Linked DNA regions of Styela clava. The main gene of each other region encodes a partner of the protein of the gene in region 2 in a complex. Links are inferred from orthologs where the notes say so. Each region holds a gene or a part of one and is shown on either strand. Other genes may lie near its edges.

Region 1 (11,166 bases), on a different chromosome or scaffold from region 2:
GCATATTTTGCTTCCAGATGACATAAATGTATTGTCATGTTTATTACCTCAGCTTGGAGTATTGACAAGAAAAAGGTGCCAGTAAATTAGTTAAAAAAATTTTCAACTCATTGTTATAATCAGAATTCACAATCAATAGGAATTATAAACAGCCAACAATCAGTGAGAATTATATGCGAAATCCCTCAGAATAAATTTGTCTAAAATCGGAGGAAGGCAAAAAATATAGGTGGTTTCCATCCACACAAGCATTTCAAGAAGACTTGCTCGAGCCAAACTAAATGAGCATCGTCAGGTGATCGGTAAGGCTGCAAGTTGAATTCAGCCCTGCAACCTCCTGCATAGAAGATAATATTAATTAGTGGGCTATGAGCTAAATTCCTAAATTTAAACAAACCTATCTACGATGCATTATGTACCAGCAATGTTACCTACGATTAACTGAATATGTAATATGTCTAATAAATTCACCTACAAAAGCAAGTTCGATAGATGCAAACTTTGTGTTATGGAATTGTATCGCAGCACAGTTTTGTATGACACCCTCTTTAAATGAAATTTCAATGATTAAGCGCAAACATTAAAATTACTAACTTTGAACTTTGTCATTATCTGCAAAATGTTCCACACAAATCTTTCCGCTATCGCGTTTGTAATCTTCTCTGATAAAAAAAAAACGTCTATGATGTCCAGAATTGCTCTTTACAGCTTGTCTGTTATTCCAGCTTTCCAAGTAAGCAAAACTTCTTAGATATAGAGATTATTTTGTTTCGTTACAGGCGCAAAAAGGCAGGTACTACACGTAAAAAAGACGCCGAGTAGCAAAAGCGAGCGGAAAACGGACGGGGAAGGCGACGAGAAATATGTGCATTGGAGCGTATCATGAAATACAATGTTTTGCCTGTAGTCTTATGGAGTGACGTCAGAGTTGCCTATCATGTTGTTTGATGTCATTGCTTTAACACGGACTCCGGATTTTTCATCGCTGGGAACACCGTAAATTCCGGCTGTAGAATCGTTTTTCTGCGGACCGCTCAGGCTCAAATACAGAAGTCTGGCTGCATAGTTGCTTGTAACCAACGACCGGTTGTCGAGTGTCAACCTATTGAATGCTCTGAATTTGTTTTTGAGGTGAAATTTTAGGTCTCTGCTGCGTTATGTCGTTGAGCAGTGGGAGAAACCTTTGGGGTATGTATTGAGTCATGGTCTAACTAGCATTTAATTACTGCATTGCCCTACTGACCTGACACTGTAACAAGAGAAAACTGAAGAGTTTTTTTTACTACATCCGTCATACTGCAGTACTGTCATTGCTCTTTCAAATTTCTTTGATTTCTGTTTGTCTCTTGTTTCAGTACCGGTACCTAATTACTAGCACCCCTCACACAGTCACAGTTGTGTTTAACTGTGTAACCTTGTTCTAAATTTATATATTTAATTTCGATGAGTTAGCTATTATAAACTACTGGGCAAGCTTGTATTACTAATTAACAAAATTTGTTTTACCATTTTTGCAAATACTTTTTTGATATGATCAATTATTTCCTTGTTTGAGGCATCTTCCAAACTTAAGTGACATCTCAGCTACAGGATATTACTCATGTTATCAACCATACTATTTTAGGTTTAATCCGGAAATCTGGCATAAGACACAGTGCCGATTATGTGAGACCAAAATTTAAAGGTGGTCCTGCGAAACCCCATGGTGAGATTTTTTAGTATCAATTAAAAGTTTTATGCTTGCACAATGACCAGGTATTGGTTCTTGATGTGGGTCAGTGCATTTGTAACAGGTGCCATTCTAGCCTGTTTGGGTAATCTTGATTTTTTAACAAGTACATCTCTCCGGGATAAATATGTTATTCTCATATAAATTGATTTTTACAAAATGCTGAAATTATTTGTCAATTAGTTATCTACTCGTAAAACTGATCTAATCTGCATCATGTCAAGTCCCCTTTGATTTGTTATACATCGAGCTAGTTTGGTTTCGTGTTCAACCTAACTCTAAATGGATTTAAACGAATGGAAAACATTGTTTACCTGTTTTTGAAATGTACAAGTGCCTAGTTCTTAACTCATTTCTACCCGGAAACTTATCGAACATATTTTTTTCCCAGAAATTGGAAAATTCATTCGCCAAAGTTTATATGAACATGGGGAGAGAGTGGTTGGAATTGTAGGATTCTTTATCGTTGGTATGTCCGCTTAATTGCATGCAATTGCTAGATTCTTTCTATGAAGTGTTTTCTCATAATGAAGGCATTTGTGTTATTGCATCAGTTAACTCCTAAAATATTTGCTCATGAATCCATTTATATATTTTGTTGCTTACTACAAATTGATCAATCATGTTCTATCATTTTGACAGTTCCTTTAGCGTTCATATACCTTCCATTCTCAAAGCACAGACAGGAAAGAAATCAGTATATTTTTGAGAATTACCGCACATCCTATGTCTATCCATGTAAGTATTGCATTTTCTAATAAACAGTGCAATTGATGGCGTATTCAATCACAAATGCATTGCCTTTTTTCCAGATCCGAAAAGAGCAGAGGAATGAATGATATTACATCTTTTATTTATTATTTCAAGTTTGAAAATTCAATAAACATAAAATGAAGATTGATAAGTCTGTAGCATTATTATCACAGTAAAAGTGGGATGCCCGTGCTACACAGATAGAGACTATAATCACCCCCCCAACAATATTAATCAGCAATATGTATAATTTACTGGGCTCATTGACTTGATATTCGTGAACACAACAATGTATGAGGATCGGAGAAACTATACGGAGGTAAAAATGCTCTGATATTCGAGTGGGAAATATCATTGCTTGTAGTTATGAATCGTTATCAATAATAAGTCTCTCTGCTCTGAACATTTCACCAATTGTTACCTGTTAAACAGAACACATTATAATTAGAGTCAAATAGTAATCACATGTTTCGTGGTGTTTAAACTGGAGACATGATCATCTCGCACCTTGAGCTGTATTTAAATCTAATATTCTTCAATATACCACAAATTGAAGGCATCATTGGATTGATTGATCTCTTGCCAAACAGCAGCGTTGGCATAACTGTGGCCCTCTTAACAACAAGTTTATTATCAGCGCACAGATGTATGTAATAATGGCTTTTTCACAGTGTTTGTTCTGGTAGTAATTTGTGTGGGCAAGAGGCACATGTTGGTCGTATTTTGGAATTTGAATGCTGTGGGTGCATCTTAATTTGAAATATAAATGACAATTGTTTATCAGCAAAGATTAATGTGGACCGCATGCTAGCGTCAATATGCATATTTGGCCCAGTAGTAAGTACCTAAAGTTTGCCAACCACTGCCTCACAGAGCAATAATATAAATGAGATTTACTTGTCTTTTAATCATTTCCAAATTCTTTTGTGCTATGTGTAAAAAGTCTTGGATTTTGACAGGATCTGGCTCTGATTTGTTTGCCCGGAAAGCATCCTTAGTTCGTGTAATAGCGTAATGCCTTGATATAAAAAAATACATATATAGCAAACTGGTGTGATAGATGAAAGCAGACACACTTCTGTGCCATTCATAATGTAGTAGTTCATAAGTTTTTTTCAGGAATTTACATAAGAAGGGCTTTGACTCAACTCTTCAGAAAAAATTCAAGATTTAAATGCTAGAAAATAATGATTAAGAAGCACTGCTTGCTTTATAATCGCACAATAGCTCTGATGCCTGTTGTCTGCGAGAGAACAGCATATTGTCATTAAGACAGAAGTGGTGTGTTACGCGAATCAGCCATACACTCAGGGCTAAGCAAAGGCTTTCGGCTGGCACATTGTTGTACTAATCAAACTTGCAAATCCACTTGTGTGGTGCAATGGCAAGTGGATTCTAATGTGGTTCACATGGTCAGACATTGTAATACAGCAATCATATGTTTCTGCCCAGATGGCAGAGGCGTTTCTCTATTCAACAGCTTACTATTTTTCAAACTCATTATGACCTAAGTTGATCTTGTGTTTTGTCAAATTTCATACAATTTTATAATGTCAAAAACCAAAGCGCTTTCATTTTAGCATGGCATGATATCTCTTGAACTTCAGTCAGTCAGTGTCAAATAGGAAATGTTATAAATTAAGCCTATTGTTTTTTATTCAAACCTGAAATTATAGTCCGAAAACTTCGAGCTTTCTTTTAGCAATGCTTTATAAAGTTGCAATGCTCTTCCTTTAGCCATAATAAACAGTATGCCGGTGTGACGAAAATCTGAACATTAAACTACTATACAAATTTTCTCTTGGTATGTACTGGTTGCTCTATATGTAACTCAACTGTTAGTTACTCCATCATCAGCGAAAGGGCATATAATAATTGAAAAAAACAAATAAATAAAACTGATTAAATCAAGAGAATGTACAAACAATGTAGATTATAAGGTGTTGCAGAAATGAGTGGTTGCCTACATCTACATGTTTACTCATCTAAAACATAGTTATTTTTCAGCAAACAAAAAAGAAAACTTGACAAAAAAATATTACTAGTTGCCCACCATATTCATATTTTTATTGGGATTTCAAAATTGAATATAGTTAGTAACCAGCCATAGTCAAATTGCCATAATTTGAGTGCACGAAGTCGATGAAGTGGTGGAACACTTATTATTTCATAATTTTTTTAAGTAACACCAAATGAAAATTTCAGAAACATTCAATCCAAATTACTAAGAATTATCTCAGTTCCTATCAACGCTATAAGTTTGTGCATAGAAATTAAATAGCAACAGACGAACCCAGACTGATATCTCATCAGCTTAAATTAAAAAAAGACATAACAAGTTCAAATACAGGGCTACACCTACAAACAGTACAAAAACTCGACTGCTAAGCGAAAGGTCTGCATGCCAAAAATAATTGTCTGAAGACTCGCTGTGACTAGCTATGACAGTTTAAAGTGTGTGAGTGCATGTGAATGAGCGCAAGCCGCTGGTTATACTGCTGTAATGTTATAGCACTTGTTACCCTCTCGGGTCTATAAAGGTACATTACAATACAACTAGTCTAGTGTAGACCCGTTTCGTACCTAAAGTAGGTACTTCTAGTTGGCGTAGCATACCGTAACATATACTGCATATGTCAATTCTGCGTCATCAAAAATCACGCCACAGCGACCTAATAGAGCACTTCAGACTCTCCGGGGGTCGGCAACCTGCGTGCCTGATCCGGCCCGCGACGCTTCACTAAATTATAGTAACAAAACATCCGTTTTGAAGAATATATTCTTTAAGACTAAATTATATTATAACCTAACAATTATATAATTTACAATTACTCGTTTATTGAGCATATAATTTAATTATAATTAAGCAAATGGCAACAAAACGCAGAAAAGTTTATGCTAAGTGCAAAGGGGTTTAATGGCGCTGAAAATATTCAAATAGAATTTTATGAGATGCAATGAGGAAATAAATCTATATTCTATTCTAGAGATGTATCACTGCTTGATTTTTATTATAAAAAGTACCATCCGTTCGATTTTTCAACTTTCTAAAAATATGTGCGGCCCGCCAATGACTTGCAATCTTAACCCTTTCCGTGCGATGGGCACGTATACGTACCCACGACAAAACTCGCTAGATTGCGGCGGGTACGTTGATGTACTCCACTGTTTTATTTAGCAATCGGTCGCAAACTGTTGGTCTAGTTTTTCCGGGTTTTAGTTTATTGATAAGAAGTCTTCTTCGAGATTAACATAAGCGACGGTAAATCTCGCTTTCGTTTACCATGGAAATTTTATTTGCGGTGGAATGAGGGAGTGTTTTTGAAATTTATGCAAATTTCGGTGTTTTTTGCTACAGCAATATTATGCTATTGTTTGCCAACCAAGAAGCGGTAACAGTAAAGGATTTAGCGAATATTTCTATTTTTTATTACGGTTTGAAGTTTCAACACCCAAAAAAAAATGCCTTTTTTCTATCCGGTTTGTGACTCAGACCACCCCTTTTGAAAAAAAAAAATTTTTTAATCGCCTATTGCAAGCTCTTTAAATAAGCTTTCCAACGAGCCGTCAGTGGGCAGCAGAGGATCATTACTTTTTCGTTAGTCGATCGATTAGTTGTGAGGGTACAAATGCATAAAGTCGGCGTAGCAAATACGATTATTTAATAAAAAATAAAAATTGCATGGAAAGGGTTAATTTTGGCCCGCGAGCGACAAAGGGTTGCCGACCCCTGCTCTACGCACTGGCACTGCCATCTATCATCCAAAACGCGCAGACGAGCAACCGAAATCGAGCAGATATTTCTCTCGTTTTCTCGTCGCGACGATCGCGATATGAGAGAGATCGCTGACGTTCGTCAAGTCCTTATTGTTGGCGCAGGTGCCATTCCGGGCGATCGTACGGATATTGAGGGCTCATTGAGGTGTATATCAATGGGGAAGCTCTATGACGTTATTGTGATGTCGTTGTGGCATAATTTTTGGATAGCGTAGTCAGGTGGGGGTTGGGATTAACATGTGAACAAATTGTTATGCTACGCCCACTAGAAGTATGTTAGGTACAAAACTACACGAGACCCCATCTTTGCACCTAGTACTTAGTAGACTATTCTACAGTTCAGTGTGATCTTTGATTCTTAATTTGTATAATTTTATATCATAAAATATGCCAATCACAGCAAATGTTCATAACGAGGAATTCCGGTTGCTAATTACTGGGCTGGACCATTTTCGACCAAATAACTAACTGATCCCATACTCGACATGGATCGGAGGCCGTGGTTCGCCATATGGTTCGTGTTATCGGCTCTTGTTTGGCGCTTGTATCAAAATTAATTTCAATAAGGCAATGATTGCTTTTAAGGCATTATTAACATGGCATTATGTTCTAGTTTTGCTACACTGACTACAGGTTAAGGAAAATACAAACAATACCCGCAGACCAAACTTTCACAATTTTTGTACCGATGAAACTGTTGTTTCCCAACCATTGATGGGGCGCCATCAGTACTTATTTTCGAAAGTTTCGCCAAAAACAAGCCAAGACGCTTGATCTTTTTCTTCTCAGATCCCAACAGACCAAAGCCTCTAGTCGTGCCATTAATAAGAACAATGGCTGCGATCTCTGCGGTAATTTCAAAATTATTATCAACTGCCCGCAGAAAGAAATCCAATTGGAGTATTTGGTTGTATTAAGATTAAATTAATTAATTAAATTAATCTCAAGTATGCCTGAATCATCTTGTGTTTGTAAGAAGCAAAAGAATGGTGCACTGTGGATACAGTGTGGTACAAAGAAGTGCAATACATCGTGGTGGCATGTGGAGTGTGCTGGTTTACAAGGTATCACAAAAGATTGTATCAATAAAATATAGATGCCCAAGTTGGGTTGTAGAACCATTAGGATTGTTGACACCTGCAAAATCGAGCAAAAATATAAGCGATGCAGTGCAAGATGAAATAAAAAAAGTCCTCCTGACATCATTAAGACTGTTGTAGGAGAGGGGTCATCGGCAACCACCAAAAGTTTTGCCGATTGCTTTAAGGAGCAAAACTCGGGAAGCCAAGTCAATCTTATTAAACAGACTGTAAAAGAAACTTCAGATCTTGCATTGCAAGAAAGTATGAAAAGAATTGACTCGAATATAATGGAACAGAGAAAAAGAAGCCGCAACATTGTGATTTCTGGATTGGCGGAAACTGGGAATGAGGACATAAAGCAAATTGTATACTCACAAATTAAGAGTAAAATTTCTGGATTCCAGTCCTCCATCATCTTGAGCTGCTACCATATAGGTAAGAAAGAGACTGGAGAGAGTGCAAACAGAAACAAACGGCTCATACTAGTTACTCTCAGAAATGAGGAGGAAGCATCTGATATCCACAAGTTTGGCAAGGGAAGGAAACTAGAGGATGACATTTGGATTAACCAAGATCTAACAAGAACTGAGCGTGAGGTCCAATACCAACAAAGAAAGGAAAGAGAGACAGGAAGAAAAAATCTGAGAAAATTGCAAAAAAAAGTCTAGTGGAGATGAATGTATGAAAACTAGCTTGGAACAGATCAAGACTATGAAAATTTACTACACAAATGCAAACTCAATTTCTAACAAATTAAATGAACTAAAGGTTCTGATAAGTGCGTGTAAATATGACATAATATGCATAACTGAAACTCATCTAAATCAGTATTTCCTTGATTCAGAGCTGCACATCAATGGCTATAATTTATTCCGTGAAGACAGGGAAACTCTCAGTGGGAAAGGAGGTGGATCTCTGATCTACGTCCACTCGGGACTTAATGCTGAGAGAGCACAGTTCTTCAAATCACTTGAAAGTGTAACTGTTTACGTATCTCTGAGGTCTGTCAAATTTGTATTGGTTTGTTTGTATCGTGCACCTTCACTAGATGATGAAGGTAATGAAAACATCCTATATGAGCTGGTCAGACTGACTCAAGCATCAGCAGACGAGGATATCCTTATTGTGGGTGATGTAAATCTGCCTGATATTGACTAGAACGTTGGTAGCTCTGTGTTTGAAACAGGTAATCAGAAAATTGTTGCTCAGAATGTATTTATGGAAAACTTGATACAACTGGGGTATTCATGGTTCATCAAAAATGAGGTTACTCGGAGGAGGTTAGTTGGAAATTGCATGCAAGAATCGCAACTTGACCAGGTATTTAGTACAAATTCTGCGTTGGTGCTGGAAGTGAACAAAACTGCAGCACTGGGCAAAAGCGACCATCTATCTCTGGTCATAACTTTGAATATGGGGGTGACAAAGTCTTATTTATGCACTACCAAACAGGATTCATCTAAGTTGTCTCTATTGTTGGTGGACGAATACTCACAGAACATTGATTGGAGTTACAGTTCCTTAGAAGAAATGTGGGGGGAGTTGTAAGAGAAAATCATAAACAAAATTCCTTTGAAAAGAGTTACATTAGACAGACATGGAAATGAATTAGTCAAAACACCTTGGGACTCATCAAAGCTTGAAAGAAAGAGGAAGGAAAAATGTAAAGCTTTCAAAATGTTTCATAAACATCCTACCAGAACAAATTATCATGTCATGCTGAAGAAACAGGAGGAAATGGCATCTGCGGTCTACCAAGCGAAGCTTGAGCATGAAAAAAGGATAACAAAAAACATGAAAACGAATTGCAAGCCCTTCTATGGCTATATCAGGTCAAAGTCTAAATTATAAACTCCTGTCTGTGCAGTGAGGGATAGTAAAGGCATGCTGTCAACATCTGCGGCTAAAACTGCGGATATTCTGGCAAAATTCTTTGAATCTGTCTTTAACTTAGAAAGGTATGGACCTCTTAAAGGAGCAAATTATTAAAACTTAGACAAAATCTTTACTGCAAATGTCAACTCAGACATAAACAGTCACTTATATGCTAGTTTCAATACAGTCTCAAAATTGCTGAACTCTTTAAATGCAAATAAAGCTTTTGGACCTGACAATATCTCTCCCAAATTGTGGAAACTCCTTGAAAAAAATGTTGGTTGCATTGAAGCTGTCACTGTTCTATTTAATCAATGTATAAAGGTAAGACAATTCCCCCAAATTTGGAAGAATGCGATTGTCATCCCACTGCATAAAAAGGGCTCAAAACAGGTAGCTGGAAACTATCGACCGGTATCACTTACTTGTGTGCTGTGTAAAGTATATGAAAATATACTGAGAGAATACATTATAAAGGAAGTTCATAGCAAAGTAACCCAGTTCCAACATGGATTTGTGAGTAGAAAATCCTGCCTTTCAAATCTACTTGAGAGCATGGACAGTATACTGGAGATTCTCGATGAGACAAACTGTAACGATGTTTTCTATTTCGATTTAAAAAAAGCATTTGATCAGGTCTCACACTATAGACTTCTTGTTAAAATGGAAAGTTATGCCCTGGACAATGATACAATAGAGATAGTCCGAGATTTTCTCACAGGTAGAACAATGAAAGTAAAGGTGGGCAATTTCTTTCCGGAGTCAAAAGCAGTAACATCAGGTGTTCCACAGGGGTCGGTTTTAGGACTCCTGCTGTTCCTGATTTATGTGAATGATTTACCAGGAGAGCTTGTGTCACATGCAGAACTTTTTGCTGATGATCTGAAACTAATTACAAACCCTAGTCATGATATCTTGCAAGATTTAAAAGCATTGGAATCTTGGCAGGAAGATTGGAAACTTTCTTTCAATCTGCAGAAGTGTAAGATTCTGCATTTAGGGAAATCGAACCCTGGGAATGACTATCCCTTTTTGGATGGAGTCCTAACCGGAGAGAACAGTGAATGTGACCTAGGAGTTACTATCAATACGAATTTGAAGTTTTCCACTCACATGAATACAATTGTTGCACATGCAAAAGGACAAATAGCATGGTTATTACGCAGTATAATAAGTAGGGATAAGGATGTGATGTTGCGTGTGTACAAGACTTTAGTGAGACCAAACCTTGAATACTGTACACGATTATGGGCGCCATTACCAAAGCATGGGAACTGGGGCGATATAATAAATCTAGAGGCAGTTCAGAGGAAGTTTACAGCACAAATAAGCTGCTGTAGAGGACAGAGTTATGAGAACCGTTTGAAGGTTTTGGGACTGACAACATTGTTAGAAAGAAGAATGAGAGGTGACTTAATAGAAGCCTTCAAAATACTAAATGGTTTTTGTACATATGGGCAACAATTTTTCAACAAGTCTCCTAGAACCGGTAACCTTGTCATAAGGCAAAATCAGCGTTCAAAGTTGAACTTTTTTTGGGAACAGGGTCGTAAAATACTGGAACAGCTTACCATTGAATGTGAGGTCAAGTGCATCTGTGAATATTTTCAAACACAATTTGGATAAATACAGAGATTCCCAGGTGTCCAATCCAAGGACACTTGGACAATACTGGGAATTGTCAAATATGATATTGGAGAGAATTAGATAGTCTAGTTTTCGACATTTGTGTATTAAATGGTTTAACAATACTATTTGGGTAATTGTCTAATGTCCCTTCCACTAGTCATAATTTGTCTAGTCTTAATTGTAGTTATTTTTGTGATACTGTGATATTGTTTTTATACAGGTGTTGAAGATGTTTATATCGTTGTATATTTGTATTGTAGATTTTGAAGTTGTATTAGGTGTGATACCCAAAGAGGTATTATTTATTTATTTAACTGAGCA
Region 2 (9,181 bases):
GGAATTTCATGCAATAAAATAGCGAGAGTTGTTAGAATACCAACCCATCGCCCGACACGATAACTCCCACCGATGGCTAAACCATGTGTAAAATTATCAATAATATTGGCCAACAAATTCAAATATCCAGCCATTTTAACATTAGATTTTGATTGCGCAATGTCAGAATGACCTTTGACATCTGAACGAACTTTGTGGACTCCATTTTGCACGATCAACTTATCTCCGCCACAGCAACAATCTTTTTCTTCTATATTCCATTCTTTAGTGTTGTTATTTCCGTTACAATTCTGATGAGATATATCTCCGTTAGATACGTTTGACGTTGGTTTCACTTCTTCTGTCGCTTCTGATTCCTTAGAAAACATTTTTTCTAAAGTCCAAAAGAAGATAAGTCCGACTAACACCCAAAATCCGTTGAACACAGCAGCAGTATGGAATCTTTTATGGTCAGATTCTGACATGAGCAATGCATTCCACGATTCTGGTAGCAAATGAAGGAAAACATCCCCGAGCAGACCTCCAACTGCAAAGCTAAGAAGGCGGTTAAGACATTTAGACCCATCACTCATTTTTGGAAGCATAATAAGCGGTAATATTCCACTTAGCCCGACCAAAAAGGCACTTATTATTGAATATATCAAAGATTCATATTTTAAGAACCACGTTTCATAAAATGTCTCCATTTGCACATTTGACTCCACTGAAGATAACACATAAGCACAGTTTTCTGATAATTCATGAACATTTCCGTTCTCTGATTTCACCCATTCTGTATTATCACAGGTAGGTTTCAGAGTGTTGGTTCTGTGTATACCAATAATACAATACGAACTCTGCACAAGCGCAAGCATTAAAACTGCCCACAGCATCATGACTTCAAATTCCTAAATTAACATAAATTATAATTCTGTAAATACAACAATAGTGATAAATGAAGTAATCATGAAATAATTAGTAAAGTTAATATTTAAATATCGGGTTATGTCACTGCAACATCACAATCACGATATAGAGCTTGCTAAGTATAGCAACGATCACCCTAAATCAGGCCTGCACAACTCAAATTACCACAAGCATGAATCTGAAGGCCCGGCGGGCCGCAAACTTTGCCCCATATATAATCATAAGATGAACTACGAATCAAAATAATATTGTGAAACAGTTAAATTTAATGGAACACTTTCATTAAAGAAAGCTTAGAAATTTGAAGAATCCTATTTTCTTGAATAAAAACAAGGTACAGTATTTTTGCATATGAGATGGCAAATATGTATTTAGTGGTTCATCTACCTTGAAAACCCACCCTTCATTTTCAATATTTCTTTTTTATTAGAATTAGGTATTGCGTGTTGCAGTATAAACTGACTGCAGAAAATTATTTTACTTCAGTTTTGTAAAACCGTCCCAAATATATGTATGACAATTTATTCAGTCATATCTACCATTATTGGATATTTCCATTGTAGGCTAGATAAATAATTCGTTTAGTAGCAATAGATCTTCCTCTTGTTGTACTTTTTTGACTGTTAAATTACATTTTTCTACAAAATCTGCTCCAATTTTTTTGAAATTTTACAGTAAATAGCAACATCTGTTACTTGTTTTTTAAGTTCTAGACCCGCGGATCGTATGTTGTGCAGGCCTGCCATAAATAATGTGTTTATGGGACACAAGGTGCACCAGATTATGAGGCACCCTGGCAGACTGGCCACAAATTGCTTAAATTGGAGTTTTTATCCATACATAATGCGCATGGAATATATGGCGCAACCTGCTGACCTGTACTGGTTTTGAATAAAATAATACTTGATCCGAATACCGTATTAGACGCGCCGGCTTACTGGCTTATTACAGTATTACAATGCACACAATAGATTCTGACAGAAAAAGTATTTGAGCGCTTCAAATACTTTTTTTGTTCGAAACTGTCCACAAAATATTGTAGAATACTCTTAGGTTTGTAGGTCATTTGTAAAATTCCAAACTTTCACTTTTTGTCATTTCTGAATTCTTTACTGCTTTAATAAAGTAATATCATCAATACAGGCTATTTCAGGCTAAGTAAAAAGATGTCTAACTTATACCCTACCTAACTAATGCTAGATTCATAGGTATAAAAAAATTAAGTAGGTTTTAGTGGCCTAAATTGAACAATTGAAACTGGTACTGCTGTACTGTAATTACAGAATAATCGGACCCGAGTTTCCTACAACAGGACAGACACCACGCTAAACACACGTTAACGATGACCGCACCGCAGAAAGAGAATCAACTAATGCATGTTTTAAAGATTAATTCAACTTCAAACAAATCTTAAAAACACGCTTACGTTGTATCTGAATAGAAAATAGGCCAAACCGCAGCGTGACAATCTGGTAAACAAAGCACAAAGCATTGCAATGTAAACAGCTGTTGAAGAGAAAAGTCCGGTTTCCTCGACTTGCATTCATGCGTGAATTTTTGGCAATATGGTCGGAAACGAAAGGCGCGTTGTTATGAATCTTGGATGACATCTCCCGGATTAGAGTTTTTAAAGTTATCAAAGCAAAGGAAGATTGTTAAAAGTCGGCTTAATCCAGCTTAATCGTATCGCTGTCACGTTCTATCGTGTGTTCATGGGGTAAGGGTATAAGTTTATTTCGATCTCCCCTAAAAAAATACACGAAACAAACAATAAACACATAAAACATAAGAATGAACACACAGAAAAATTGGGGAAATCGGGACAACAGGCAAAATCTTTAGTAAAGTTTAAAACACGCAGAAATGCATGTGCCTGTTCACCCATTTCACGCACACAAACATATTACAAAATAAAAACATGAACATATATCGTATAGGGTATTGGTATATGTGGAAATTGTTTATTGGTGATATTTATGCCCATAATGGCATAATCATATTAATAGCATCAATCAGGGTTGGATTAACCATCAAGAGCCCCCTGACAGGTCAAACATGCTACCCTATTGAAGGCACTAAATATGAAATGCAGTAAATCGCGCGCGCGATGTATCTCTCTTTTTTTTTCTTCAGTTTTTTTTATAAATAAAACAATATTGTAATAAATGTATCTCTCTATTCATTCTGAAACTACATCGAGGCCGCACGCCACCTTTCTTCGGATTTTGATGAAATATAAGCTAATCAGTGTAAAGTGGAATATGGTCAATCAATTTTCTATTCTACTAAAATAAATGCATATCAGTAATTTTTGGGATTCTATTGCAGATCTTGGGATTGTTTTAACAATGATCTTGAATAGAACCAGTCGACTGCTATAAAGCGGAATCAATGTTGCCATAACAGATCAAATTTGACGATTTACCAAGATCGAAAAAATCTCAATCAAAATTAAATATAATCGATAGTTCATCATGCTTGTTTGTTTCTGCAGGAGAGGGTGGCCCGTGGTTTGGCCCAGGACATGCCTTTCGATTGCGCTAAGCACTTATGATTTTGGTTCCTTAGATATAAAATATAATAATTATGAACTCGTGTTTTATGTTATCTGACACTAGAATAAGTAAGTTTCTGTGTTCATTAGTAATTTGGGGCCAAGTTACGATTAATTTACATGATTTATTTTGAACAGTTCTCATATTTACAAACATCGATAGAGATATTTTAGAATAGATGATACTTGATAGTTTTATTTCAACCGGGCCAATATTGAGGTCTGTGTCGACTGACAAACTCGATTGTACCAACTTGTATGTATATATGTTTATTCGTCTCGTAAAAACAAAATAAAAAAGTTAGTAATTATAAATACTGAAGACGGGATGTATGCACAGGACCATACTGGCCTGAATCACACGAATGTGCGCATTCAACCCTTTCGAGTTGTTTCATTAAACACAGAGGCATCATTGAAAAATCTTCTATGCAAATTTATGTGGTGCTCCCTTTCCCCTGGGGCTCTAAGCACGAGCTTATATATATTGCTTATAACAAGGTTTATGGCGTTTTTCATTTTATTTTCAGCTTGTATGATACCGTTTCAATCAGTAAAAGAGCATATAGCCGCACTAATTTCAACATTTTTTCGTGAGATGTTTTATAAATTTAGAAACAGCAAACCAGGGTTAAAGCGAGAGCTATACAAAGGATCAAATTGATGAACCGTTTTCCAGTCTTAGTATTTCTCTACTGGCAGTCAGAAATTTGGCTTGTGGATTCACTCCTCAAATTATCTCACGCATCTTGTCGCCGATGATTGCATAATTTCGCATTTCTTTGAAAAAAGAATGAACAAAATGAACAAAAATTAAAAACGGGATATCATATTATCTTCTTGAATATCCACACATTCAAGAATTGGAACAGCGCACACGATAGTCTCAGTTGAATGCCTTTCACTCAGGCATAAATACACCAGGCTTCGAATCAACGCGGTATGTTCAATGCAATTTTTTCGAAATAATTAGCATCGTCGAGGGCTGCCAAGCGTGACGCTGGTAATTAAGTGATGTTTTGATCACTGAACTGGAAATACATGCCGCAGCGCGAGACAATTTGATCGCCGCCATCTTGGCATTTATACTTCCAAAGTTTCTTCGTGTGGTATCTGGTTTTGGCCAGTTTTTCGTCTATTTCAGTACCCAGTGCGCCACATCGCAAGGGGGCCCCAAGCGGTTAGAATTTAGAAATTTAAGCCGCAAAGCCAAAAGCTGCATTGCAAAACCAGGAATGCACATCTAATTATAATGTTGATTTTAGTTTTGCTCAAATCGTATTGTTACGTAACAATGCCGGAGTCGTCGATTTTCGGCGTCGTGAGGTTTGATCGTACCAGCACAATTACGAAAGCTGTCAGAATGATGTCGAAAGCAAAACCTCTCAGTGGCGCACAGAAACGAAGAAAATTTTTAGGTTACCATAATCTTTATATAGCGACATGTTGTGCTTTTTGACGAAATAAAAAAACGTTGTTTAAGCTTATGTCCGAGAGTTTTCAGGGTCATTTCAACAAAATATTTTTGCGGGGTTGGCCCACGAGAGTCTTGCTACGCCACTGGCCGTAACTTTATTCCGACTTTCCTTATTCTAGTTCTATTACGAGTTCGCGGATTTGTGTGTGTGTTAGCCAAGTGAGTATATCCTGTGCCCATGGGTTTCTGTCCCTTTATACAACTTCGTGTAGAGTAGGCGAACAATATTAGTTACCTCCATATTGGTACACGCACTTACGGGGCGCTCTTTAGTTCTATTTATATGTACAGCTCGGGTACTACGGCAAGCAGCAGGGCTAGTCAAGAAAGAAAAAAACGAACCCAAAAAATTGTAAAAACTAGCGCAGTCACAAAAAACAAAAGATAAGAAAGGAGAAAAATGTGTAAAAAAAAAATAATAACTACCGACGACAACTGCTCAAGCAAGCCCAGATAAAAGAGTAAAAAAGTGAACCAAGCAGGGCCAGTCATTAAAAAAAACAGGTGCTCCCGAAGTATGCGAACCAAGATGGCGGACATCGGAACGTAACATGGGTAACAGGTTAGGGTTAGGCGATAATTTTTTTCCAATTTTCCTTATTTTAGTCCTATTATCAGTTCGAAGACTAGCCAAGAGCCTCCCGTAATATTTATACCTAAAATTATGGCCTAACCCTAACCTAGTACACATATTACATTCCGATGTCCGCCATCTTGGTTCGCATACTTCGGGAGCCTTAAAAAACAAGTAAAAAAAACTTACTGATACTTACACACACAGAATAAAACAAGAAAAAAAATGCATTTTAGGGTGGAAGGAGACGCGATAAACAAAAAATGTCCCCCCCCCCAAGCATCTATTTTCTTAGCAAAAAGTCAACGATGATATAACAATGGTAATTTTCATAATCGCTCAGATATGCCTTTCTTCGCTCTAACAAAATATTCAAGCATAGTTGTAAACAATCGGTGTGTGTTTTCAAAATCTAATAAATCAAAAAATAATTTAATTGTCACTATGTCCTCACAAGAAGAACTTTACTTTGGTTTTAATAATCAGAAATCACAATCGCTCAGATATGCCTTTCTTCGCTCTAACAAAATATTCAAGCATAGTTGTAAACAATCGGTTTGTGTTTTCAAAATCTAGTGAATTAAAAAATAATTTAATTGTCACTATGTCCTCACAAGAAGAACTTTACTTTGGTTTCATTAATAAGAAATTAGTTCCGACCGAAAAAGCTGCCGCCCATGCAGTTTTTTCCCGGTGCAATGGCATGCGTGTTTCAAGCGCTTGAATAGCGTAGATGGAAATAAATTTTAGTCTCATCTGGAACCAACACGCCACCATATAAAAATCATATATACTTTGCATTCTACATTGTCGAGTTTTCGGGGAAAACTGATAGGCAATTCTGTAACCCTTGACTGGTTACAGTCCGTGACCGGTCATCAGAAAACTCTTTAGTCGAAAGAAGGTAAATTGCGGCAGTTTTTTACCTGCAACATTCAAGATTTCCAGTTTTAACGCTTCAGTAAAGTATTATTGTGAATAAATTTTTTCGCAAATCGATAATCGACGTAACAAAAAAACGTGATCATTGTAAACAACAAAAAATACGTCATATTGACATCTCGTGACGCTCCAATGCGCACAGTTCCTCATTATGAGTCTACTTTAGGATTTTATGTAAATGTGGGGCATAGAAAAGTCAAAATGTTGGCTAGGTTTGCTGTTAGTGGAGTCAATAGAATAAATTTCGGTCAACGGTGTTTTTCATGTACGAGATTGAAGTCGCAAAACCAAAATATACGGCAAATGGAAACAGTTTTGGTAAAAGCAAATCAGACCAGTCAACATTCACAAATCGGACAATTTTTGTCTCAAAATTGTCGCTATTTCTCGCAAGAAAAACTGGTCTCTTTGAATGATTATGAAAGAATAAGCGAAGAAACTCTGGATCAACTTTCGGAATACTTTGAAAACGTTTTTGAAGACATTGAAAATGATGAATTGGACATTAATTATAGCAGTGGAGTTATGACTATGAACTTAGGCAAGAAAAAGGGGACTTATGTTATAAATAAGCAGTCACCTAATAGGCAAATATGGCTTTCATCACCGACTTCAGGGCCGAAACGTTATGATTTTATTAACGGACAATGGATTTATTCTCATGACGGGTCAAATTTATATGACCTTTTACAAAATGAACTGTCTGCTGCTCTCAATATTCCAATTGATTTATCTTGCATGAATTATCATGGTAAATGATACTAGTTTAAGTTATAAGACTATGTATATTTTGCAGTATGCTCTTTCTTTCATGTAAAATGATACAGGTACTCTTACAGTCAGCGAGTCAGGGAGGATACAGTTCTCCGATACCAAGATGTCTCAACATTTGGTTCAATAAAACGAACACTCTATTTGTCTTTGAAATGAGGGAGTATGACATGATAGCAGATGCGAGAGATTGCGCTCTTCTTGTTTTGATAATATTTTGAATCAATCAAGACATGTGTTGGCCATCACCAAAATTGCATTTTTTTGCTAAAATCTCTTGAATGCTGTTTTTTTTCCCTTTGGTAAATCTGATTATTTTCTTCCGAAAAATCCAATGTTGGCGTTTTCAGATGGCGCTTGCTTTTAGTTTATTACACAGTACCAGTTGGCGATGTTAAGTCGATATGGAGACCCAGACTGGCTCGTTAGGAAGGGGTTTGTTCTCACTGTTTTAATTGATGTCTTTTCATGTGGGGACTATTCTTGGAATCAGAGAACTGTGTCCTACTGTAGTCTATATGGTTATATCTGTAGTAACAGGAGACCTCAATACAGAAGTATTCTGTGCCAACCAGTACGATTGGACCATGTGGACGGTAGAAAATGAAATGTTGTGTTTTTCTATGATTAAGTCATATTTACTGACGTTTACTCTAATGCCCTTTCATTGTATAGACTTTTGTCACTTTCATGCAATGTTTTAACAGTTATGTTTTCTATTGCCTGTGTTTGACTTTTCACAATTTCTCCAAATACTTTCTTTAGTAACAAATATTTTAATATAAATCATCTATACTGCAAAGGCAAAAATTTTTTTTTTAGCTCGCTATTCTTTGCACTGTGGCACATTGTGCTAAGCGTTAGGAATACGCTCGCATCTGCACCTATGATTACCCTTTGTGTGTTCGAATCCTAAGGAGAATAATTATGTGCAAAGGATTGCTGGCATTTACAAATTAGATCTTTATCAATTGACAAAGATTCTTTCAACTCAATTTGTTGCATCTGACAAAGTATACCCCTCTTTAAAATGTTAAAGTATTATTCTGTATCAAACATAGCAATTTTTCGTAGCTTGAAACATTTTGTAAACCCTCAAGACGCTTGTAAACCCACCCAACCACTCTCCGGACCCGCTAGCTGTTACAGCCCAACTTAGAAATTTCAGAATGCCCCGCCCCTCATTGAAAATTCCTAGCGACGTCCCTGCTGTAGTCTAGAGACTTCAACGGTATTTTTCATTTGCTGTCAACTTATAAATCTTGTTTTACAGATTTGCCTAAAAATGTCATTTTTCACTAAGAAACTAAAACCTCATCCTCCCCAACAGCCAGTCCCTTATAATGAAAGTAGGAACAATGATTTGGAAGAAGATGGCTTCGTTCTTGTAGGAGAAACAGAAGATGAAAGAAATGCGATAACTCCTGACAGAAGAGACCAAGATTTGCCTCCAATGTATCAGGTAAATACTAGATCCTCTAATTCAGTGGTCCCCAAATTTTTTGTTCGAGCGGTACCGAATTATCAGGGTAAAAGCTCATGATGCACTTATAAGAATGAGAGCCAAAACAAGCTTTCCAATAATAGCTGAAACATAGCACGGCATTTTTGTGAGTGTGAGTGTCAAAAATCGCACAGGACCAGGGTTGTCCAAAACGAATCGAATATTCGAATGTATTCGAATATCAAGGTATTCGAATACCTTTTCGGCTGATTTTCGAATAATTCTGAATAGTAGCCACTTTTCGCCGTAAACGTGGTGTTTCGTTTTACGGGAATCTTTAAACGACTTTTTACGCTGTCTCACGTAATGACGATGAAATAAAATTGGCACTTTGATTGTTTATATTCTGTGCGACCGTACGTCGCATAGTGTTGCGACACATTTGCACGTTTGCGTGGGTGGACATTGCCGACATTCGTGTACGCGGCTTTTAATTTACAAATTCATTTCCAT
Region 3 (11,672 bases), on a different chromosome or scaffold from region 2:
TCCGATCTTTTGGCCCCCGCCTACGTGGACAAGCCGGAATATGCAAATTCCAGATTAAATGCCCTTCTTGCGAAGCAACTGTCAATTACACAGATGCTATCTTACGGGACGTGCTCACGCGAGGCATAGCTGATCAGGAAATACAACTCGATCTTTTGGGCGACAGAAATCAGGACATGACACTCGAAGAAGTCTTCCTATTCGTGGAAACTAAGGAATCTGGAAAACGATCAGCTACACGCCTGTTCGACTCGATGGGTGCGGAAGCTGCGCGTAGCAGTTCCTACAGACGAGATTAAAGGAATGCTCAAAATAAATGCTCTTACTGCGGCGAACCCGGCCATGGCGCCAGGGCAGTCCCAAAAATCAGGCAAGCTGAATGTCCGGCATATGACCACACTTGTGGACACTGCGGTCTCAAACACCATCTTGATCACATGTGCAGGAAGAAAAATAGTTCCAGAAGAACGGGAACTAGCAAACCACACAAAGATGCTGAATGCGAAGGAGCCGTTTTTGATGCGATGTGTTCAGTAAGCGCGAACGTTGGCACAATCCGATCTAATAATTTCAAACGATTGCCAAGCCAAAGCATATCACTGGATCACCATCTATACGACAATTCCTATGACATATGGACCAAGAGGCCTTCGAAACCTCAACCATTCATAGGCCTTGCCATAAGAGCTGTCAAAGAGGACTACGAAGCGCTCGGATTCTGCCTAAAGGCCAACAGCAGTGTCGCCAGAGTCACGGCAATGGCCGACACAGGATGTCAAAGTTGCCTTGCGAGCATCAAGATTATCCGCCGCATTGGACTGAAGGAAAAAGATCTCATACCAGTCACTATGAAGATGCATGCAGCGAACAACAAACGTATCAACATAATTGGCGCCGCGATCCTGCGAATATCTGGAAATGATGAAAAGGGCGATGCGGTTGAAACTAGGCATATAACATACGTTACTGACAGCATCGATGAAATGTTCATCAGCAGGGAAGCTTGCACCGCCTTGGGAATGATCTCTAACAACTTTCCCAAAATAGGCGACATAAAACAAAGCATCTATTGTGCGTCTGGCGCGGCTTCACTGGACAAATCCGTCGCAAATAGCAACAGGGAAGCAAAACACACAAGCGCCCAGATACAAAAGCAATGTGATTGTCCTCGCCGCCAACTACCTCCTACGTTGCCCACCAAACTCCCATTTCCAGCCACATCAAACAACCTCGCACAGTTTAAGAACTTTCTCATTGAACACTACCGAGCCAGCACGTTTAATACGTGTGAACACCAGCCTTTGCCCATGATGGAAGGGCCGCCAATGAAACTGATGATCAAATCAGACGCCGACCCAGTTGCTCATCACACCCCTGTACCGGTCCCATTGCACTGGCAGGACGAAGTGAAGGCTGGACTCGACCAGGATGTCAGACTTGGCGTGATAGAAACAGTTCCTATTGGCGATCCAGTCACTTGGTGTCACCGAATGGTAGTCTGTGCAAAAAAGAATGGGAGACCACGTGGCACAGTGGATCTGCAACCCTTGAACGCCTACGCCACCAGGGAGACCCACCACACGCAGTCACCATTCCATCAAGCACGCTCAGTCCCAAACGGCAAAAAGAAGACCGTGTTTGATGCGTGGAACGGGTATCACAGTGTACCTATACGAGAGGAAGACCGGCAACTGACTACCTTCATCACACCCTGGGGCCGATACCGCACTGCACCACAAGGCTACATTGATTCAGGGGACGGATACTCGCGTAGATTTGATGAAATTGTGGCTGACGTTCCCAATAAAACAAAATGCATTGACGACACCCTCCTTTGGTCCGACAGCATAGAAGAAAGCTTTCTTCAAGCCGCCAAATGGCTGGATATTTGTGGAAGACATGGCATCACACTTAATCCGGAAAAGTTCGTGTTTGCCGAAGATACCGTAGAATTCGCTGGGTTTGAAATAACAATGGACAGCGTAAGACCCTGCTCGAGATTTCTAAACGCCATCATTAACTTCCCAACTCCGCAGAACATCACCGATATCCGTTCATGGTTTGGACTCGTTCACCAAGTGTCTTACGCATTCAGCATGGCGAAACGCATGCTGCCATTCCGCGAACTGTTGAAACCCGGATCAAGATTCATTTGGGACAACGACCTGAACAGTATATTTGAGGAGTCAAAAACTACCATAGCAAAAGAGATCGAAGAAGGGGTAAAGATTTTCGACAAAACGAAGCCAACATGCCTCGCCACCGACTGGTCGAAGAACGGCATCGGGTATTGGCTTTTTCAGAAGCATTGCTCCTGTATAAACTCAAAGCCGTTTTGCTGTCCCAGTGGATGGAAAACAACTTCAGTCGGCAGTCGATTCACTCATAGTGCAGAATCACGCTACGCCCCAGTCGAGGGAGAAGCTCTTGCAGTAGTCGATGCCTTGGACAAAGCTAGATACTTCGTATTGGGCTGTGATGACCTTGTGATTGCCGTAGACCACAAACCGCTGTTAAAAAATTTCGGCGACAGGTCACTCGACAAAATATCAAATACACGTCTCCGTAATCTCAAGGAAAAGACCCTAAGATACAAGTTCCGCATGATCCACATTCCAGGCGTAAAACACCGAGCTGCTGACGGCTGTTCTCGACACCCCACAGGGCAACCTGAGATGATGCATCTTACAGACGACATTGCATTGATTGTGAACGAAACCTCTCAGCTTTCTACGATTTTTTCATCAACCTTAATGGAGAAAGTTCGCACTACCGTGAATCACAAGAGCACTTTTGAGACCTCAATCATGGAGGCAGCAGCTTCATCAATTGTTGCTCTGCAAACTGTCACAAGGGAAAAGGTAAAGTTGGCCACTGCCAGCGACGATCACATGAACAAATTAGTCGAAATAATTGAGTCGGGAATGCCAGATAAGCGAACTGAACTTCCAACACCGCTACGAGAGTATTACAGATTCAGGAACGACCTCTACACTGTGGACGGGGTGATAATTTACAAAGATCGAATCGTCATCCCCCCCACGTTACGCGGAGACGTTCTACGTGCCCTTCACGCCGGACACCAAGGAGTTTCATCAATGACCTCAAGGGCAGAAGCATCCGTGTTCTGGCCAGGAATTACAGCAGCGATCTTAACAACACGCAACAAATGCCGAGAATGCAATCGCATGGCTCCATCACAGCCATGCGCTCCGCCTACATCTCCATATACACCATCTTATCCGTTTCAATGCATTTGTGCCGATTTTTTTCACTACAAAGGTGTCAATTACTTAGTTATCGTTGATCGTTACTCCAATTGGCCAATAGTCGAAAGGACGTCTGGTGGTGCGACAGGACTTATCAGCAGCCTACGAAGAACATTCGTGACATTTGGTATTGCAGATGAACTGGCTTCTGACGGAGGACCTGAGATCACCTCCGCTGCAACACAGAAGTTTTTGAGAGAATGGGGCGTACATCATCGGTGGCATTCCCACACAGTAACTGCCGTGCAGAAGTCGGAGTAAAAACTGTTAAACGACTTATTTGCAACAACACTGGGCCTAACGGCGAACTGGACACAGACTCCTTTCAGCGGGCCATCCTGCAATACCGAAACGCACCGGACCCGGACACCAAAATGTCACCAGCAATGTGCGTGTTCGGGCGCGCAATCAAAGACTTCATCCCTATTCTTCCCGGAAGACATAAACCGCACAACACTTGGCGTGAAACTTTGGCAGCCAGAGAGGAAGCTCTTCGTAACCGGCATATGAGATCGGCAGAAAGATGGTCGGAACACACGAAAAGGCTCCCTCCACTAGTCATCGGAGATCGCGTAAGGATTCAAAATCAGATCGGCCCAGAACCGAAAAAATGGGACAAAACGGGACTGATAATTGAAGTTAGACCATTTGATCAATACGCCGTAAAAGTCGACGGATCCGGAAGAGTGACACTTCGCAACAGAAAATTTCTGCGTAAATACACACCCGTTATTGGACCTCAACCACGACGCGTCATCGACAACGACATCCTTTGTAAGCTCCCACCTGCTCAAAGACAATACACGAGAAAAGAGCCTTTGGGGAACGACGTCACACCATCGGGGGAACACGACGAACCGATCGAAGCCAACGATCACAAAACACAAGCTGAAGTCACAAATCCTAACAGCCCGCCGACAAAAGCAGGAGTGGAATATCCTTCATGGCCTACGGACGCTGACATAGATGTTGACACGTCACCTGAATGGATGCCCCGACGTTCGAATCGTGCTCGAAATGCTCCTAGATGGCAAAAAGACTATGTCATGACTTAAATCCCTCAGAAATATGATCATTTTACTGCATATACTCAGTCTTTCATACCCTGCTACTCCTAGGAAACGGCGCACAAAAGACTTGGGGGGAGATAGTGAATATTTATGTAGACTGTGCAGTGTGTGATTTAATGTTAACTCTTGTTCTTTATTTCATTTCAGTTATTATTGAGTTCCGTCATTGTTTACTAATAAAAGTGTAACAAATGGACTGTCAATCCTATCTAATTCTGTTTGTGGAAGGGTATGCTTTTGGCTTGTTGCTTCTCCAATGTAATTCTGTTTATTTTTAAGATTAATTTGATAAAAATCCTGTGCATTTCAATATATACTAGAACAAAACAAAATTTTGAAATTGTGTCAGGACTTAATAAATACCCTCTACATCACAATACTAGCAAAAAGCGCTGAAGAAAATAATATCAATGATTTCTACGATATCAATATTGTGTTTTAGTAAATTTCCAAACAACAATGCATTATATAAAAACAATTTGTGGAAGATCGAAAGCAGTTTAACAGGGTCAGATGTTCATGAAATATACAATTTATTCTTACACACACTATGTGTGCGGGTGTATGCACGCTTCCCAAATTATTTCCACTCTACTTTGCTTCAATATTGGCATATTTGGGTTAATTGCTACAAATTGAGTAAAACTAGCATACAACTAAAGAAAAAAAAATTTTATTTCATTTTCAGAACGCACTTTTTACGTGTATTTTTGTTTCTTCACATTATAACACTGTTTTACTTCATTTCACCCCTTTTTTCCTTAACAAAAAAATTCAGTAAAATTAATTTAAACAAGAAATTGAAATTAACTAAACAAAAAAGTACTTTTGAGCAGTGGCGAATCTACGTCAAATTGAGCCAATGGGAAACCCTCAAAAATGCACCGACTTTGCCGTTGACTGATAATTTTTACCGATTGTTGTTGAATTTAGATACTTGTACGCCATTATTTGAGTAAAAATCGAGTTTCAATTATTCCCTATTTGAAATAGTTTCATCGTAGCACCCTGTCCAAACGGCCCTCATGACTCGAGGTCGGAATCGAGTGAAGAAGGGGTGACTACATATGGGGGCCCATTCATATCCATGAAAAGTTATTTAAATGAATTTGTATTCTTTTTTCAAGATTTAGGAACAAAGATCTTAGAATAAGGAACGAATATACAGTGGTATGGTGTTTTATGTCACAAAGACCCGATCTAAAGATCGATAAGTAATAACTATCCTAAGTGATTCAAGAGTCTTGCTGCACACTAACACAAATTTATTTCTGTAGCGTTTCGTCTGACCTTGGTAAAGGATCGAAACCTCGCAGAACACCCGTAACAGATCGACCACCATGGACCTTTCCCCGACCTTTAACCCCCAAAAAATTCTTCCTATACTTTACTATTGCAAAATTTTCGCGGTTATTCTAAGAGTGCTTTTGCGAGTTGGCACCTGTAAAATGGGGTATGTGTTTTAAACCATCCCTATGATTCATCGCATACAACAATCTGTTTTTTAAAAGTATCGGTAAATTTTTTTAGCCTAGTCTATCACAGCTATTTCTACACTAATTTTTTATTACTGCAATTAAATTAACACTCATAGGAAGACAGAGTGATCATTGAATTATCTGATTCATATTTAAGTTTCCGAAACACAACTGAAGACTAACGAATAGATTTCAAAAACGCGAAAACGAGGTAATGTTTATACGACCACGCTTGAAAATCTGTCTGAGTGAGAAAAGTGTCTGAGCGGATGCGAAAGGGGAGCATTGTTACGTCACTTTTTGCTTCTTGCTGATTGGCCAATGTCACGAAGTAAACAAGGAAGTCGATGATCGGGGAAAGGTTCATTTAACTTTAAATTCAATCTAAAAAAAAAATTTTATCCATAAACTTCTTCCCGGTAGATTGGCTTTAATCATATTGATATTACGCAATACAAATCCAACAGTAAATACCGAAACACACAGCGCGTAGTATTCTCAGTCAAACAGCCTAACATGCTCAGAGTCAGCTGCCGCAGAGCTGCCTGTATCTTGTATCAGTGTCTGAGCAACATAATTTAATCTAAGACTTTATAAATCTTGAATGGTCCTTTAAAGCAGGGAATTGGGTGAAAGAAATTGAAAGTCAAATTCGCAAATGTAAATAGACCATGTTGACGAGAAAAAAATTCAGCACATGGGGCTATCCTGCTACGATATCCAGATATCTGTCTTTCAGTCTTTAGGTACCGGTACGGTACGGTACCTAATGCAAACAATGCTGCAATGAAAAAAATATGATGGCATAAGATACGGTACCGGTGTGGACCATTTGATCCCATATCAGATTCCCGACATTGACTGGTACCTTAACCGGATGAGAGGTCTTAGTTTGCCATATGATTAAGCCGTCTTATCGACTTTCTTCTCCCCGGGGATACATATGTAAATCCTATCCTAAGTGATTCTTTAGTTGAATCAACTCAACTAATTTAATTTAGGGAGAACAGTGGTCAAAAAGAGCATCTTCTGAGCTTTCTGTCTTTGTGTTGTGATACGTAGCAGATGTAAATATAGCACATCATAGTTTTGTGATTATTCTTTAATTATTAAGGGTTTACTTTTGCAGTTTTTAAGCTTCTAATACTAACTACTGAATAGTGAATAATGTTCAGGTAGACCAAATCGAATACTAAGCAATTTTTTTGGAATTTCAAACTTTAATATATTGGAATTGTGTGTAAAAAAGTCCAGTATCATGTAAGTATAGACTGATAGAGTTACAAAGAAGTATTAATTATAGTTCAGTAGTACTGAAATGGTCATATAGGCTATCCTGTATATAGGTATAGCTATTATTATGCATACCGTAACATTTGTCTGGAATTTTGCTGGTATTCTGATATTTGAGCATTGCTTTATCGTTTTTGCAGTGGTTATTTATTTGTATTCTACTTTGTATTAAATCATATTGATATTCCCAAGCAGTTACTCAATTCGATCTAGTGGAACATAAGTTTAGTAATGGGAACAAAGCATTGTTTAGTTAAAAGCTGACTTTTCAACAACAGTAATTTGAGATCATATTTATCTACCCTATCAACTTTATTTGCCGGTAATAATTGCAAAATCTAGTCTATAGATCATGGGTGGGCATGGTTCTTGAATCAGGGGCCAAAAATTTTGCCCACCTTGACTGTCGGGCCATGTAAGTATGAAGTAAAGAGTCAGACTACATTTTATGAACAATGTTTGCAGTGTTACAAAAGCAACAGTGGAAAACAATAAACCTCGTGCCGAAACTAAATTTAACCGCAATCTCAACAAATTCCTTGAGCTATTTGTAACTAAAACATCAAAATTTCAGTTTGGTTGTGGCAGCATCAGGCGGGTCAGATTGAATTACCCACCGGGCCGGATTTTGCCTATGTCTGCTATAGATGTTACAAGTGATTTGAAAAATATTGTGAAACTTCCCCTTGGCCATCATGACTCTAGCTTCAATCTTTTTTTTTCGAGTTTGTTAGGAATTTTCACTTATATTGTCGTCATTAAAAACAGATTTCAAAGTGAGTTTTTAAAACATGCCAAACTCAGACAAAAACAGCCTGTATCAAATCCCATCATATACGATTATGTGTTCAAATTTGGGTTTAAAAAATTAAATGCAATGAAAAAGAGGATATGTTGGGGTGAGAGGCAAAGAACTGAATAATGTAGGGCTAAATCACCCCTGCCTAAGTTTTTACTGACCACTCTTTTCCCTAACTTCGTTAATTTGTTCACAGGCACTCATTGTTGCGCAAATCCGTCAGTTTGACAAACAAGTACCCACTTTTTACTCGATATTCATCATCTTCCTCTCATATCACTCAAGAAAGGAAATCAATTGCTCAAGCTACAATTGAAAAAGGCCATGGAGAATGGCAACCTGGCTTTCGTCCTGTTTATTTGGATGTTCAGGTAACACAACTATAATGATTGCCATACCAGAAATATTATATTTACTTTAGCTTTTCATGTTTAGCCTACAGAGGAAAGGGAAGTCAATTTTAGTCAAAGGTAATTTATCCAGTGAATATGTAAATGTTGTATGTTAGCATGCAAATAGTTGCTACTTTTCTCATGGCTAGAACAGGCCATTCATTGTGTAGGAATTGTGACTTTAACTTTGATTTGTTGAAATATTACCTTTTTAAATGAGGTTGAACAGAATTGATTATTTGAAAAAATATATTTGAATTCTTGACACTAAAAATGTTGTGCTCAGTTGTGTAATGTTTGATGGTAAGATTGCTATATCTCAAAGATAAGTTTTGAATTTGCATGAATTTTGTAAATTTTATTTTCCAATTGTTTTTCCAATTTGATTAGCTATCGACTGGGAAAACAATATTATCCTAATATAATCCATGCTAAGCACATACAGAAAACATAAAATTCTGCAAGGAGAATATCCCGCGTCGTTCCTATTATCAGGATTTTTTTTATGGGATAGGATTTTGAATGTATAATTATTTCTTCTGAACTTACCTGCATATTATATATTTAACTTTTTACAAGGCCACCGCACCAATGGATCCAAGAGTGCTGGATTCAATGCTTCCATATTTTGTAAGTTACTATGGAAATCCACATAGTCGTACACATGCATATGGATGGCAGGCGGAAGATGCTGTTGAAGACGCTCGAAAACAAGTTGCAAGTTTGATAAATGTAACATTGTTTTAACATTCTTAAATTCCTGTTTTAATATTACACCAGGCAGTACCTGCATAGTTATGCTAAAATAAATTTTGGGAAAAGGTAGATGTGCAAATTAGCCAGGGTAATTCCAACGCAGATTTAAAATATTGACATGTCTGATGACGCGCAAGGGCAAGGTTTGTCAATATAATTCCATTTGTTCTTGAATGCTGGAAAATCTTCAAAGATACCATCTCAAGTGTTAACAAGTGTTTTTAGAAGATCAATTGAATTGAATAAACCAAAATTGGTTATAATTTCACTATGTTATATATTTACATAGGCTGATCCACGTGAAATTATATTTACAAGTGGAGCAACTGAATGCAATAATATTGCTGTAAAAGGAGTTGGGCGATTTTATAAGTAAGTAGACTTATTTAATGTGAAATTTCAGCCAGCTTTAAATAGATATTTTAATAATTTGTATTCGTTGTATAGCGATTCCACAAGTTGAAAATGCTTAACTTTATCAGCAAATTATAATTGAGTACTGTATTCAACTGTGTAGTCTATTATTATAACAAAAAAGCCTTCCCTTATATGCTAACTCAATTGAATACATTTCTTTTGTAACGCCATTTCTTCAATTATTTTTGTATTCAGGAGTAAAAAACGTCACATCATAACAACCCAAATTGAACATAAATGTGTGTTAGATTCATGTCGATCTATGGAAAGTGAAGGCATTGAAGTTACTTATTTACCTGTGCAGGTTTGTCTCTTCTAAGATATATATATTGGGAGTTCAATATGGCTCCATCTGACCATTTGTGCATTCATTATATTGCAAAGCACTAAGAATTATTAGAATATAGCTGGTAAGCTGGTTGTTTACTTTCTGAGAGCTTAGTAAATGAAATAATTTGCTATTTCAAATACACTTTGAATAGTAGCTCAGAATATGGAATATTCCAGAATTGGGTTTGTTTATCACAGAATTTGCAATACTTTAATGATCTTGCACATCTTCTAAGACTGTTAAATCAACTTTTGGGTGTTCGATTCAATTCATTGGCTCTATAAATTTGAGATGGGTGATTTCTTAAGTTTCCCCTTGCTAAAAAAATCTTTAATAGTTTTCGAAAAAAAAATTTCCTTTTATCCTTTCTGTCTTTATTGGGAATAATCACTTGCCAGAGAACTGTGTGTTAAAGTTGGATAAGTTACTCAGTTTTCCACGATTTTTTTTGCTGTTAACCTTGCAGCTGATTCACTAACTAGCGCATAAGATGCTCTCATAGTCTGTATGATTAACAACAAAAGACGTGTCTGCAATAACTTTATTAAGGCCATGTGAAAGACGCTAAATTGTTTTCATTTCAATATTACTTAGTAGTGAGTGAAATGCCTCTACCTTGCTGTCATTTCCTTAGAATCAATTTTTGAAAACTTGGCAAAAAAGGGATATGTAATAATTCCCGCTAATGGTCAATCAATAATGTTGAAGTATTTCGTTAAATAATGCATTTGAAGTTTTGTTTGTGAAGTTTTTTAAAAAATGTTAGGAACTATAAGCTAGTAATTTTTTTAGGTATGTGCACACATATTCGGTATTAACAGCTGAATAGCCTTGCTATGTAAGATTGTACATTCACAAGTTGATTTTTATAGTTGTACATACATCATTGTCCATATAAATTTAATAATAGGCAATGTTGATGAAGTTAAATCAAGCTTCAACATTTTGTTTAGCCGTTTTTAAAGTTGAACCAATGTTATATATGATATTCTGGTTAAACTTGTTAAATAAATACAGGAAAATGGGATTATTGATTTAAATGTCTTGGAGAGTTCGTTTCGTCCCGATACATCTCTAGTCTCGGTTATTATGGTAAATAATGAAATTGGTGTACGGCAACCAGTTGAAGAGATAGGAAATATGTGTCGAGAAAGAAAAGTGTTTTTCCACACAGATGCTGCACAGGTTTTTTTCGTATTTAAATAAGTAATCATATTCTTCTTCAATGTTGATAAGTTTAATTTATTGTTCAGTTTTGGAATATGACCTGTAAAATTCAGTGATTCAAATGTCGAAACTCTGGATATGATTTACATTACATATTTTCCTTATTAAAGGAAAAACACTGGTTTCAATGAGTTCTAGTAATCATGGACAGAAATCACTTATCACAGGATTCAAGCCAGCTGACAAGGTCATAAATATTGACAAAGTGGAGATAATCTGATAATTTCTTACTGTTTAATAAGACCTAAGCTAATTATTATTGATAGTCCACTTTTTGCTATAGAATTGTTACACTGTTGAAATATGTCCCTCAGCAAATATTATTATAATTCATTAATCTTATGATTTTTTGTAGAAAAGTAGTTAAAAATCGAGCTTTATTATAGTTTTATTTTTAGGCCGTCGGTAAAATTCCCATTGATGTGAATGAAATGAAAATAGATTTAATGTCAATAAGTGGACATAAAATTTATGGGCCGAAAGGTGTTGGCGGATTGTTTTTACGGCGTAGACCTCGTGTCCGAGTGGAACCTCTTCAAAGTGGTGGTGGCCAAGAGGTGTGTATACATTTAACAATAACGTATTGTTATTTCGAGGATCATTTTTGGCCAATTGGTAATGTTAAGGGTAGCAATACTTG

What was found.
Region 1: frataxin, mitochondrial-like (region 2) and LYR motif-containing protein 4-like share a complex: the UniProt entries of both Drosophila melanogaster proteins name them as parts of the mitochondrial core iron-sulfur cluster (ISC) assembly complex. The link is inferred for Styela clava from reciprocal best matches to the Drosophila melanogaster genes fh and bcn92.
Region 3: frataxin, mitochondrial-like (region 2) and cysteine desulfurase-like share a complex: the UniProt entries of both Drosophila melanogaster proteins name them as parts of the mitochondrial core iron-sulfur cluster (ISC) assembly complex. The link is inferred for Styela clava from reciprocal best matches to the Drosophila melanogaster genes fh and Nfs1.

What each region holds. Positions count from the first base shown.
Region 1 is NC_135255.1:1,694,641-1,705,806, forward strand, and holds LYR motif-containing protein 4-like, read right to left. Parts: upstream 4,386-11,166; 5' UTR 4,224-4,385; coding exon 4,147-4,223; intron 3,501-4,146; coding exon 3,380-3,500; intron 2,904-3,379; coding exon 2,847-2,903; 3' UTR 2,566-2,846; downstream 1-2,565. Other genes in the region: uncharacterized protein LOC120331577, read left to right, coding at 1,158-1,188, 1,625-1,705, 2,121-2,198, 2,372-2,467, 2,542-2,564. UniProt on the Drosophila melanogaster protein: Stabilizing factor of the core iron-sulfur cluster (ISC) assembly complex that regulates the stability and cysteine desulfurase activity of Nfs1 and participates in the [2Fe-2S] clusters assembly on the scaffolding protein IscU.
Region 2 is NC_135262.1:2,038,324-2,047,504, forward strand, and holds frataxin, mitochondrial-like, read left to right. Parts: upstream 1-6,756; coding exon 6,757-7,212; downstream 7,213-9,181. Other genes in the region: zinc transporter ZIP13-like, read right to left, coding at 1-875; uncharacterized protein LOC120332896, read left to right, coding at 8,510-8,686. UniProt on the Drosophila melanogaster protein: Promotes the biosynthesis of heme as well as the assembly and repair of iron-sulfur clusters by delivering Fe(2+) to proteins involved in these pathways.
Region 3 is NC_135251.1:29,313,230-29,324,901, forward strand, and holds the start of cysteine desulfurase-like, read left to right. Parts: upstream 1-6,918; 5' UTR 6,919-7,075; coding exon 7,076-7,077; intron 7,078-8,105; coding exon 8,106-8,280; intron 8,281-8,880; coding exon 8,881-9,033; intron 9,034-9,346; coding exon 9,347-9,429; intron 9,430-9,669; coding exon 9,670-9,778; intron 9,779-10,822; coding exon 10,823-10,990; intron 10,991-11,430; coding exon 11,431-11,589; intron 11,590-11,672. UniProt on the Drosophila melanogaster protein: Catalyzes the removal of elemental sulfur from cysteine to produce alanine. It supplies the inorganic sulfur for iron-sulfur (Fe-S) clusters.